Macaca mulatta: one gene and its partner. The main gene of each other region encodes a partner of the protein of the gene in region 2 in a complex. Links are inferred from orthologs where the notes say so. Each region holds a gene or a part of one and is shown on either strand. Other genes may lie near its edges.

The links. Proteins that work in one complex are often made in the same cells at the same time.
Region 1: the proteins of XKR8 (region 2) and BSG are in contact, whole or in part, in a cryo-EM structure (PDB 7DCE), measured with the Homo sapiens proteins. The link is inferred for Macaca mulatta from reciprocal best matches to the Homo sapiens genes XKR8 and BSG. Residues at the interface, in NP_060523.2 of Homo sapiens: His232, Leu236, Val239, Leu242, Trp243, Leu246, Gln247, Arg280, Gly283, Arg284, Ile287, Phe291, Ser294, Asp295, Leu298, Ala301, Thr302; in NP_001719.2 of Homo sapiens: Trp326, Pro327, Gly330, Ile331, Glu334, Val335, Leu338, Val339, Ile341, Ile342, Phe343, Tyr345, Glu346, Lys350.

What each region holds. Positions count from the first base shown.
Region 1 is NC_133424.1:1,222,187-1,227,365, forward strand, and holds the end of BSG (basigin), read left to right. Parts: intron 1-373; coding exon 374-721; intron 722-2,075; coding exon 2,076-2,232; intron 2,233-2,949; coding exon 2,950-3,032; intron 3,033-3,191; coding exon 3,192-3,340; intron 3,341-3,444; coding exon 3,445-3,849; 3' UTR 3,850-4,019; downstream 4,020-5,179.
Region 2 is NC_133406.1:212,983,804-212,989,073, forward strand, and holds the end of XKR8 (XK-related protein 8), read right to left. Parts: intron 3,313-5,270; coding exon 2,597-3,312; 3' UTR 1,719-2,596; downstream 1-1,718.

The sequences.
Region 1 (5,179 bases), on a different chromosome or scaffold from region 2:
GGGGCTATTGGGCAGAAGGCAGAGGACGCTGCCCTTGGGAGCTGAGCTCCCGGCAGCCCTCGGGGCTCAGGACTCCTGGCTGTTTTGCACAGTTTCATGTGTTTTGTGTTTTGAAACCGTGTGTGGTCCCACAGTTGTGCCCTCAGAAGCCGCCGTGGCTGCCATGAGGTAGGAGTGGACTGGACGGCCACGGTGGCCCCCCCCGTCTTTCCCGTGCCATGCTCTTTCCAGCCGGGCCCCATCACTCCCCCACACGCGGAAAGGAAGTGGCTTCCCACCCGTCCTGGCCGGGAGTCCTGTGGCAAGGCCTTCCCCAGGGGCTGCCCTTCCAAGTCCCCTGGGCACTAACAAGGCCCCCGCACTCTCCCTGCAGCCGGCTTCGTCCAGGCGCCGCTGTCCCAGCAGAGGTGGGTGGGGGGCAGTGTGGAGCTGCACTGCGAGGCCGTGGGCAGCCCGGTGCCCGAGATCCAGTGGTGGTTTGAAGGGCACGGTCCCAACGACACCTGCTCCCAGCTCTGGGACGGCGCCCGGCTGGACCGCGTCCACATCCACGCCACCTACCACCAGCACGCGGCCAGCACCATCTCCATCGACACGCTTGCAGAGGAGGACACGGGCACCTATGAGTGCCGGGCCAGCAACGACCCGGACCGCAACCACCTGACCCGGGCGCCCAGGGTCAAGTGGGTCCGCGCCCAGGCAGTCGTGCTAGTCCTGGAACGTGAGTGGCGGGCACCGCCCTCCCCACCTCCTTCATTTTCCCTCCTGTGCCGCTCGCCTCCCGGCTCCTGCTCCGTAGAACCCAGACGCCTCCTCCCCTCTCCGTCCCGCTGTGCCCCATGGGCCCACCACCTGGACAGAGGGGCCCGGATCTGAAGAGGGTGGGCTCGCTGCTTGACCAGCAGTGCTGGCAGCCTGGCTTGGGGAGGGCAGGGCTCTGCCCTCCAGCACGTGGGTCCTCGTCCTCCCCTCGACCCTCCTCGTGCCGTCTGTTCCGCCGTTCCTTTCTGCTCCCCTGGGCGCCTGCCCAGCTCCCTCCCTTGCGTCCGTGCTGCAAGCCTGAGGGGCCTCCGAGCTCAGCCCAGGCTTGCAGGTCTCGGAACCTTCTGTGTCCTTCGCAGCGTCTCGTTCTAAGGGATTTTCACATTTCAGTTCCTAGTGGGAATATTGTAAACTGACCAAGAACCAAGAGATTTGCTGGTTGGGGACTGGCAGAAGAACGGGTGCTCCCAGCACTGCTGGAGTGCTGTCAGCCTGGGGTCGGGGGGTGTGGAGCCACCTGGGTGCCACCTAGAGAAGGGCATGGGAGCCTTGGCCAGGGGGTGCTGTGGCTTTTTTTTTTTTTTTTTTTTTCCTGGAGACGGATTCTTGCTCTGTTGCCCAGGTGGAGGGCAGTGGCACGGTATCGGCTCAGTGCAACCTCCATCTCCTGGGTTCAAGCGATTCTCCTGCTTCAGCCTCCCAAGTAGCTGTGATTACAGGCACGAGCCAACACGCTTGGTTAATTTTTTTGTACTTTTAGTAGAGACGGGGTTTCACCATGTTAGCCAGGCTGGTCTTAAACTCCCTACCTTGTGATCCGCCCACCTCAGCCTCCCAAGTGCTGGGCCGGGATTACAGGCGTGAGCCACCGCGCCGGCCGGCTACGTTTTTAGAAAGGAATTTCCAGTTTGTGCTAGGGCTGCTCCAAGAGCCTGATGCCCCGGTCCTGGCTCAGGGACGTGAGTGGTGCCTTGTCTGTCCCCACATCCCGGTCCCAGCCTCGTGTGTCTCCGGGCAGGAACATCACCAGGCGGGGCCGCTCGGTTGCCAGCGCCTTAGCCCAGGGCCCGCCAGCTGCCGGCGAAGGCCACCTTCCCGAAGGGGCCTCCTCAGCAGGCGCTTGTGGCTCTTCTCTTCCCGGAGGCGCGGCCAGAGTTCCCCCTGGGCTTCCAGTCTTCGGGGTGTCAGGGCCACGGTGTTTTCGGGAGTGAAAACAAGCCCTTCCCGGGAGGAGCCACAGGTTCCTGGGGGTCAGGCAGGCAGCGCGGCCGTGCTCCTCCACTCTGCTGACCGCATCTCGCCGGGCCTCGCAGCCGGCACAGTCTCCACTTCCGTAGAAAACATTGGCTCGAAGACACTCCTCACCTGCTCCTTGAACGACAGCTCCACAGAGGTCACCGGGCACCGCTGGCTGAAAGGCGGCGCGGTGCTGAAGGAGGACACGCTGCCCGGCCAGAAAACGGACTTCGAGTGAGTGCCGGACCGCGGAACGCGACCACGTGCCCCTTCTCACAGCTCTCTTGCCGCGAGTGGCCTGTGGTCCGTGAGAACAAAAGACTGGTCGCCAGGCTCGATCCAGGCGGAAGTTAGGGACCAGCTCCACTCGGACCCCCAGAGGGAAACTCCAGGGAGGGGTCTGAGGGCGCCCTTGGGAGCCGGGTGGCTCCAGTAGCCCTGACAGGCGTCCCTGTTGCTCCCTCGCCAGGTCCCGGGCACAAAAGGGCGCCACACTGCCAGGCCCCGGGCACACATGCAGGCCTCCCGGGCTCTGTGCTCCTGACACAAGAGGGCGCCACACGGAGCCCTGCCCGGCTCAGCCCCCAGACGCTGTCATGGCCAGAGCCTTGTCATCACTGGAGCTGGGACGGCCCTGGGAGCACAGAGCCTTTTGTTTTGAGGCTCACTGGGAAGACAGTCCCAGGGTGTGGGGTGCAGAGCAGGGACCAGAGGTGACGGGTTCGTCGTCAGGGAGAGGGTCCTGTTTGCTGGTTCTCTCACCTGGAGGGTCTTGGCAGCCTGGCTCTGTCCCTGGGGCCGTATGGGGACACCAGGAGTTTTGTTGAGGTTCAGACTTGACTGGGACAGTTTGACTTTTTCACTGTGCTGTGGTTGGGCCCCTGGAGAGCCCTGGGTCCTGGGAGGCGTCCTGCAGAGCCGGGCCCAGCTCACCGCCTGCTGTGGTTGCAGGGTGGACTCCGACGACCTCGGGGGAGAGTACTCCTGCGTCTTCCTCCCCGAGCCCACGGGCAGGGCCGACATCCAGCTCGACGGTGAGTCCTGCAGCCAGGGGTGCCGGGCGCCGCCGACTATCGGGGGAAGCGGTTGGCCTGAAGCACCCGGCACATCCCGGAGCCCTGCCCTGCTCCCTGGAGGGGCACAGCCCTCGCGCTGCGGGGAGCCCTGTGGTTCCAGGCTCCTCTCTCTCTCAGCCCTCCTGTCAGGTGCCCCCAGAGTGAAGGCTGTGAAGTCGTCAGAACACGTCAGCGAGGGGGAGACGGCCGTGCTGGCCTGCAAGTCAGAGTCCCTGCCCCCCGTCACCACCTGGGTCTGGTACAAGATAACTGACTCTGGGGACCAGGTGAGAAGCCAGGGCAGCCAGGGGTCCCGGGCTCAGCCCTCAGGACCGGGGGAGGGGCCTAGGTCCGGGGTCCCGGGCTCAGCCCCTGTCCTTGGTCCCCCTAGGTCATCGTGAACGGCTCCCAGGGCAGGTTCTTCGTGAGTTCCTCGCAGGGCCGGTCGGAGCTACGCATCGAGAACCTGAACATGGAGGCCGACCCCGGCAAGTACGCGTGCAATGGCACCAGCTCCGAGGGCACCGACCAGGCCGTGGTCACCCTCCGCGTGCGCAGCCACCTGGCCGCCCTTTGGCCCTTCCTGGGCATCGTGGCTGAGGTGCTGGTGCTGGTCACCATTATCTTCATCTATGAGAAGCGCCGGAAGCCCGAGGACGTCCTGGATGGTGAGCCGTCTGCCCTCCTGCCCACACGCCCCGCTCTTGGGGTGGTCCGGGGCCACTCCTGGTCAGTCCCTGCCAGCCCCACCGCTGACCCAGAGCTCGGAAGCAAGGAGCCCCGGGCGGGGAGTTGATAGCACCCTGAAAGCCAGTGTGGGATGGAGCGTCCGGTCCGTCCCTGGGCAGCTGCGACTCAGTGGGCAGCGAGACCCCAGGAGGAGGAAGAGGCAGCAGTTCACCCCACAGCCTCACCCAACCCTTCCCTCCCCCTCACGTGGCTGCAAGCCAGTGTCCTCCATGGTAAGCCAGCCCTTGCTGTTCCGCCCGACCTCGTGGCAGCTGCGAAGAGCCCAGGGCCATGGTATCAGGGAGTCCTGGCCTCTGCATGATCGGGCTCGGGAACCTGAGGTCAGCCGTGCTCGGCTCCGGCAGCGCCTGGCTCTTCTGCTCCTCAGGCTGCGTGTTCTGGGGCGAGGCCTGTGTGGGCCTGTCGTGGCGGCTCTTGGAAAGCACTGGGGGGCAGGAGTGAGGCCCATGAGGCCGTGGGGACAGCTTACCTTGGGGGGGGGGGACAGCTCGCCGTGGGGAACACACCGCAGATGGGGAGGGCGGGTTTTCCCCGCACCATTCGGCCTCAGAAGATGCACACGGCCGGGGCTGATGCGCTGCCCTGAGCCACCTGGAGGTCACTGAGGGCGGGGCCAGCAGCACAGATGTCCCTGCTCGGGGGCCTGAGTGGGACCAGCTCTGACAGGCTGTTCTCTCGTCCTCTCTTTCATGGTGGCGGTCCTCCTTCAGATGACGACGCGGGCTCTGCTCCCCTGTAAGTCCCAGCTGTGGGGTTCGGGGTCCCAAGGAGCTGCCTGCTGCCCCAGGCCTTTAAAACACAAAGGCAGAGTCCCCCGGCTTCAGTATTCTGGGGTCCTGGGGGCCGGGGTGGGCAGGGGTGACTTGGAGAGGGTGACTTGTCGGAGACACCCTCTCACCCGGCCCCTCATGCCCCAGGAAGAGCACCGGGCAGCACCTGAACGACAAAGGCAAGAAAGTCCGACAGAGGAACTCCTCCTAGCCAGGTGCGGCGGGCGGGCGGGCGGGCGGGAGCTCCTCCTGAGCCGGGGCAGTGGGCTCCTGGGTCCCGCCTGTGGGCCGCTGGGAGGTGGGTCCAGTCTGAGCGCCCCTCCCTGTCCCCAGGTGGCCCGAGGACGCTCCCCGCCCCCGCGTCTGCGTCGCCGCTGGAGTCCACTCCCAGTGCTTGCAAGATTCCAAGTTCTCGCCTCTTAAAGAAAACCCACCCCATAGATTCCCATCATACGCTTTCGTCTTTTTAAAAAAAGTAGGGTTTTCTTTCTGCATTCAGGATTCTGTTCCTTAGGTTTTTTCCTTTGTGAGTATTTCTCAGAGCCCGGGAGCTGCGGCGCCGCGGCCCGCCTGTGGCTTTCCACCTCTGGGTCTGAGTCACGGCGG
Region 2 (5,270 bases):
TAGCTTCCAAGTACCATAAATGCCAGACTATAAGATGTATTTCTCCAAAAATTCCCCAGAAAAGAGGAAGTTGCCTATTTTAGTAATTAAATGTTTTCCTCATTAGGTGCACATTAGTTGAAGCAAACCCGTTAGCTGCTATATCCTTACTCAGTTATAAGTACAAATATTAGAAGTATTGATTTCCAAGCACAGAGGAGATAAACATCTCCATCTCTTCCTGCAATTTCAGGTGTGTGTGTATGTTTACATGTATTCAATTAGAAGAATGGTCCTTTGTTCTAAGATTGGTACGTCCTTTTATGAGATGATGAAAATAAATGGTGGTAGTTTTTTGTTGTTGTTGTTTTCAGACGGAGTTTTGCTTTTGTTGTGCAGACTGGAGTCCAATGCCACGATGTTGGCTGACCGCAACCTCTGCCTCCCGGGTTCAGGCGATTCTCCTGCCTCAGCCTCCCGAGTAGCTGGGATTACAGGCATGCGCCACCACGCCTGGCTAATTTTGTATTTTTAGTAGAGATGGCGTTTCTCCATGTTGGTCAGGCTGGTCACGATCTCCCAACCTCAGGTGATCCACCCGCCTTGGCCTCCCAAAGTACTGGGATTACAGGTGTGGGCCACCATGCCCAGCCAAATGGTGGTAGTCTTTAATGCCCTTTCTTTGTTAAAATTAAGTTTCAACCATGTTGGCCATTTTATAGGTACATGATATTCAAAAGTCTGAAAATCACTAGACAGGATGATCTGCAGGATCCTTTCTGCCTCTAACCATTGCTTGTATGTAAAAGTCACTAGCATCGTCTTCCCAGATCCTCTTCCTGCTCCCACCCTTCATCTCTGGGTCATCTTTAGCTCCAGGCCAACAGAGTGGTTACAAGTCCTTCTTCATCCTGTGGAATTCTGTTTGCATCATTCCTTCCGTCACAGTGGTTCAAGCTACCAGTGACTCCAGGTTCTGCTCCTTCTCATGACATTTATAGGCCACCCCCAAGTCACTGCTAACCAGCTTACCCGTTTTGCAGGAAGGCCTTCCCCAGCCATTCTATATAAAGTTGTAATTCCCACCCCCAACACACAAACACCTACTCTCTCTCCCTATCCCTTTCCCTTTTTCTTTCAGCACTTAACACTATCTGATATACTAAATGTTTTACTTATCCTGGTTTTTGTGTCTCCACCAGAATAGTAACAGAGCTGAGACTATCCTGGATCCCATCACAGCAGTGACTGGAACCTTTTCTTCTCTATCTCAAGAGATTTTTCTGTCCCTTGTTTCTCCAAACCACAGACCTCCTAGAACAGCAAAAGGTTCCACTTCCCCAGCACCATCACCCACCACATTCGCATCCCCTAAGGCACCTCATTACTTAACGTCTCAGAGGTCCCAGCAAGACCTTTCTTCACCAGGCTCCTATATTCACTTCCTGGCCCTAAATGTGTTTGTGGCCACTCCTGCTGGGCCCAGCAGCAGAGCTGGTGGTGAAGAGGGATGCACTAAGCCCAGATCTGGATTCTTATCTCCAGCTGAGCTGTCAACCCCATGCTGGCTCACCAGCTCCTGAAACTTCAAACACGAGGTTGAGAAGCCCCACCTAAGCCAGACCTCTCTGTTCATGGACCCTGACTAATTTTGAGAGGTAGATTTTATGCCCCTGACCTCTTCTAGTTCAGGCTCTGAACTCCATAAGAGATTTCATTCGATGACACAGACTAGGTTGGAGGATTTCATGAGGCTTTAATCATAACCTAGTAATACTGTTAAAAACAACACGTCTGACACTTGCGGACACCCACAGGGACACACATTCTCTTCCTCTCACACAGACTCTGAGGTAGGAGGTACACTGGCTAAGGAATAAAAAATACTCAGTGGTTGTACAAGGCTCAGACCAGGCTCCCAAGGCTCTCGGTTGAAAAGCAGCCCCTTGAGAGCAGGAGCAGAGGCCAGGCCAGCTTCACTGAGATCTCAGAGGTTCTAACTGGGGCCACCAAGAGTTGGGCATCCCTGGCTTCTGGCATTTGAGATCTAACCCAGGACTGGTTGGTGCAAGTAGGGGATGAAGCTGGGGTGGTAGCTGGTCTTGTTCCAGGTTGCAAGGACAGAATGATGTTCCTGGCATATAAACTGCTCTCCACGAAGATTTCTTTCATGAATTGAAGGAATGGTGTGGGGGAGGGGAGGAAGAATTCTAGAGGACAGCCCCTGTGGCCTTCTAGCCCAGGATAGGGGAGCTAAGGGGTGGGGCAGCACCTATACCAGTCATTTTAGAAGTGGCCAGGGAGGTGGAAGTTTTGGGGCACCAGCTATACCAATGGCAGGGGGAAAAGAAAAGGTAGTCTTCTTTCCTCCCAAAGCGTCTTGTACATAATTGGGGCTCTTGACCCTGCAGGGCCCAGCCTTTCTCATCTTGTTCACTGTGAACTCCTTTAAGGCAGGCCTCTGCCCCATTCAGCACCATCCCTGGTGCCCGGCCCAGCATAGGCGTCCCATTATTGCTGAGTGCATGGAGGCCACAGCAGCATCATTAGCTTATCCTCACCTGCCTTCTGCCAGCAGAGTCACTCTCCATCTCTGCCAGCTGGGTCTGATCCTGCTTCAAAGGACGCCATTCACCTCTCCCTTCACTGGCGAAGCAGCCTCATCCTTAGCCTTGGGGAAAAAGTTCTGTGCTAACCGTGTCATGCGCCTGTTCTGAGGCAGCTGATACTCCTCTGGGGAAAGCAGACTCCGGGCCCCGTCTACCTGGTCAGGGTCGGGCTTCCAGCAGCAGCTAGGGTGCAGCCAGCGGTAGTACACAAGCCGCAGAGCCAGGCCCAGAAAGAAGCAGCCGCAGCCCACAGGCAGCCACAGCTGCAGGGGAATCCCGCTGGGCAGCCAGGAGCTATAAGTCATCCAGGTGACCACCAGGAGAATGCTGTCAGTCAGGAGGAAGGCGAAGTGGATGGTGGCCCGGCCTAGGGTATGGCCCTCAGCCACGTTGAACCAGGAGAAATAGAGGATGGTGGCCACCGTCACCCGGTACAGCCACTCGGAGCTGGGGTCCGGCATAAAGTCTGTGCCCTGAAGCCAGACCCAGAGCAGCAGTACCAGCCACAGGCCCAGGAAGTGCAGGGCCACATAGCTGGGGAAGAGGGCTGAGAACAGGGCCACAGCCAGGACTCGGGGCCACAGCAGCAGCAGGTTCCACAGGAAGTAGATCACGGAGGAACCCAGGCCCAGGAGGGGCTTGGAGGGGAGGCAGGTGCGCAAGGCCCGGTGGTAGTCGAGCAGTGCCCACGAGATGCCCAGGAAGGACGTGCAGATGCCAAACCCTGCAAAGAGTAGGACAGAATCATGAGTCCTGGGCATTCCCCAGGGGTCGCAGGTACCGTGGGGCCCCTCCCAGCAACCCTGGAGTAGGTATCAGAATCCCTCATTTGCTGAAAGCAAATCTGCAGCTGGAGAAGAGCCAGTGAGTTCCCATAACCAAAAGCAAAGCTCTGACTCCTAATATAGAGCCTGCCCCTCACCACAGTGCTTTGCTGCGCAGGTGGTATTTGTCAAAGGTGAGAGGGTGTGACTTCTGGCCCACCCAGCACTCAGCACCCCTGGGCCTTGGCTGCACCCTGGGCATCTTCCAGGGCCCCATAACCCTTTCTTTCTGGGAAGAACACAAGCCTTTCTAGTGTCTGAAAATCAACAGCCTCAATTCCCTCTTTCTTAGTCTCAAAAAGGGAGTAGAAAATCCCCTGGGGTGGCCACAGGCTCTGGCTAAAGCTGCCCTCAGGGCCAGGAGAGATGTCCCTGCTGTGTGGACAGAAAGTCTCCCCACTTCCCTCCCCTCTCCTCCAAGACCAGAGGCCATCAGACTGACCCCTAGTCTTGATTTTCCAAGATCCAGAAGTTTACAACAGGGGTCCTAGGGTCCTTTCCCACCTCCTGGCTGCCAGTCCTGGAGCAGAGGCACGAGGGCCTCCAGGGAGGGACGGAAGTGGCACCAGCACGTCTCCCGACTGCTTCCTCCCCTGTTCCTGTCCACCGCAGTCATTCGACAGATGTTTACTGGGAATCTATTAGGTGCCCAGAACCCACTCCTAGCCTGGAAACAGATCTGTGCCCATTAGCCTCGCCCAGGTCTCAGCAGGGCTGATGTTTTTCCAGTTTGCCCAGCATGCCACCTTCCGTGACCTTGACAAGCTCTGCCCAGGCTGTTCGGTAGCCAGAAGCACACGCCCCACTTCCCCGGCCTACTCCTCCATTACCCCACAGGCCCCAGCTTGAAGAGCCCCTGGAGTCACCCACCCTGGCCCCACGCCACCCACTCAGCTGTGTCAGGTATCCCTGTCACATGCCACCCACCTCTGTCTGGAGTCTCATCACACAGTAATTATCTATTTCCTTATCTCTGAGCTCCTCCAGGGTAGAAAACAGACTCTGCTCACTTGGGATCCCCCAGCAGCCCAGTACCTGGCACATAACAGCAGCGGAAGAGATGTTTGCTAAATAAAAAGTAGGGAAAATCTGTCTTTCCCCCTTACCCCTTGCCACACTCGCAGTGCAGACTGTCTGCACTTGGCCCTGGTTCTAGACACCCCCAACCCTCAACAGACAAAAACACGTGCCCAGTGAGTGCCCAGTGACCCAGGGCAAGTCACTCACCTTTCTGCACCTCTCTAAAAATGGAGATCAAGATAGCACAGACCTACAGGGCTGCTGTGAACTTGAGCAATGATGACTGTAAGTGCTTCCCACAGGGCCCGGCTAATAGCTGGCCCTCGATTGTGACAACCGCTATTATTGTTTTTTCAATCAATACATAGACTCAGACTAGCAAGACGAAAGGGCCCTTGGAGATCAAATCCAACCTCCATCTTGCACAGGAAGGCTCTCCGGGTCACACAGCGAGTGACGGCAGAGTGAGGACTGCTTCCTTGAGAGACTGTGGCATTTATGGCAGGGGTGGAGGAAGGCAAAGGGGACCCTGAATTGGATGTGAGTCGGGGCCCTATTCAGCTTGGCCACTGTCTGGGTCTGTGAAAATGGGCAAGTCACTTTCCTTTTATGGACAAAAACCCTCCCAAAGCTCCTCACTATAAACTTCACCCTTGCTCAGGGGGGCCCTGTGAGCCTCCGCCACCTGCCTCTCCCTTTTCCAGTCACTCAGCACGTTGTACCCTAGCTACTTGTTTTAGTCTATTACCCTGGCAGGGCAGGGGCTGGGTTCATCTTGTTCACTGCTGTGTCCCCAGCACAGTAACAGGCACAGAAGAGATGCGCAATGAAAACCTGA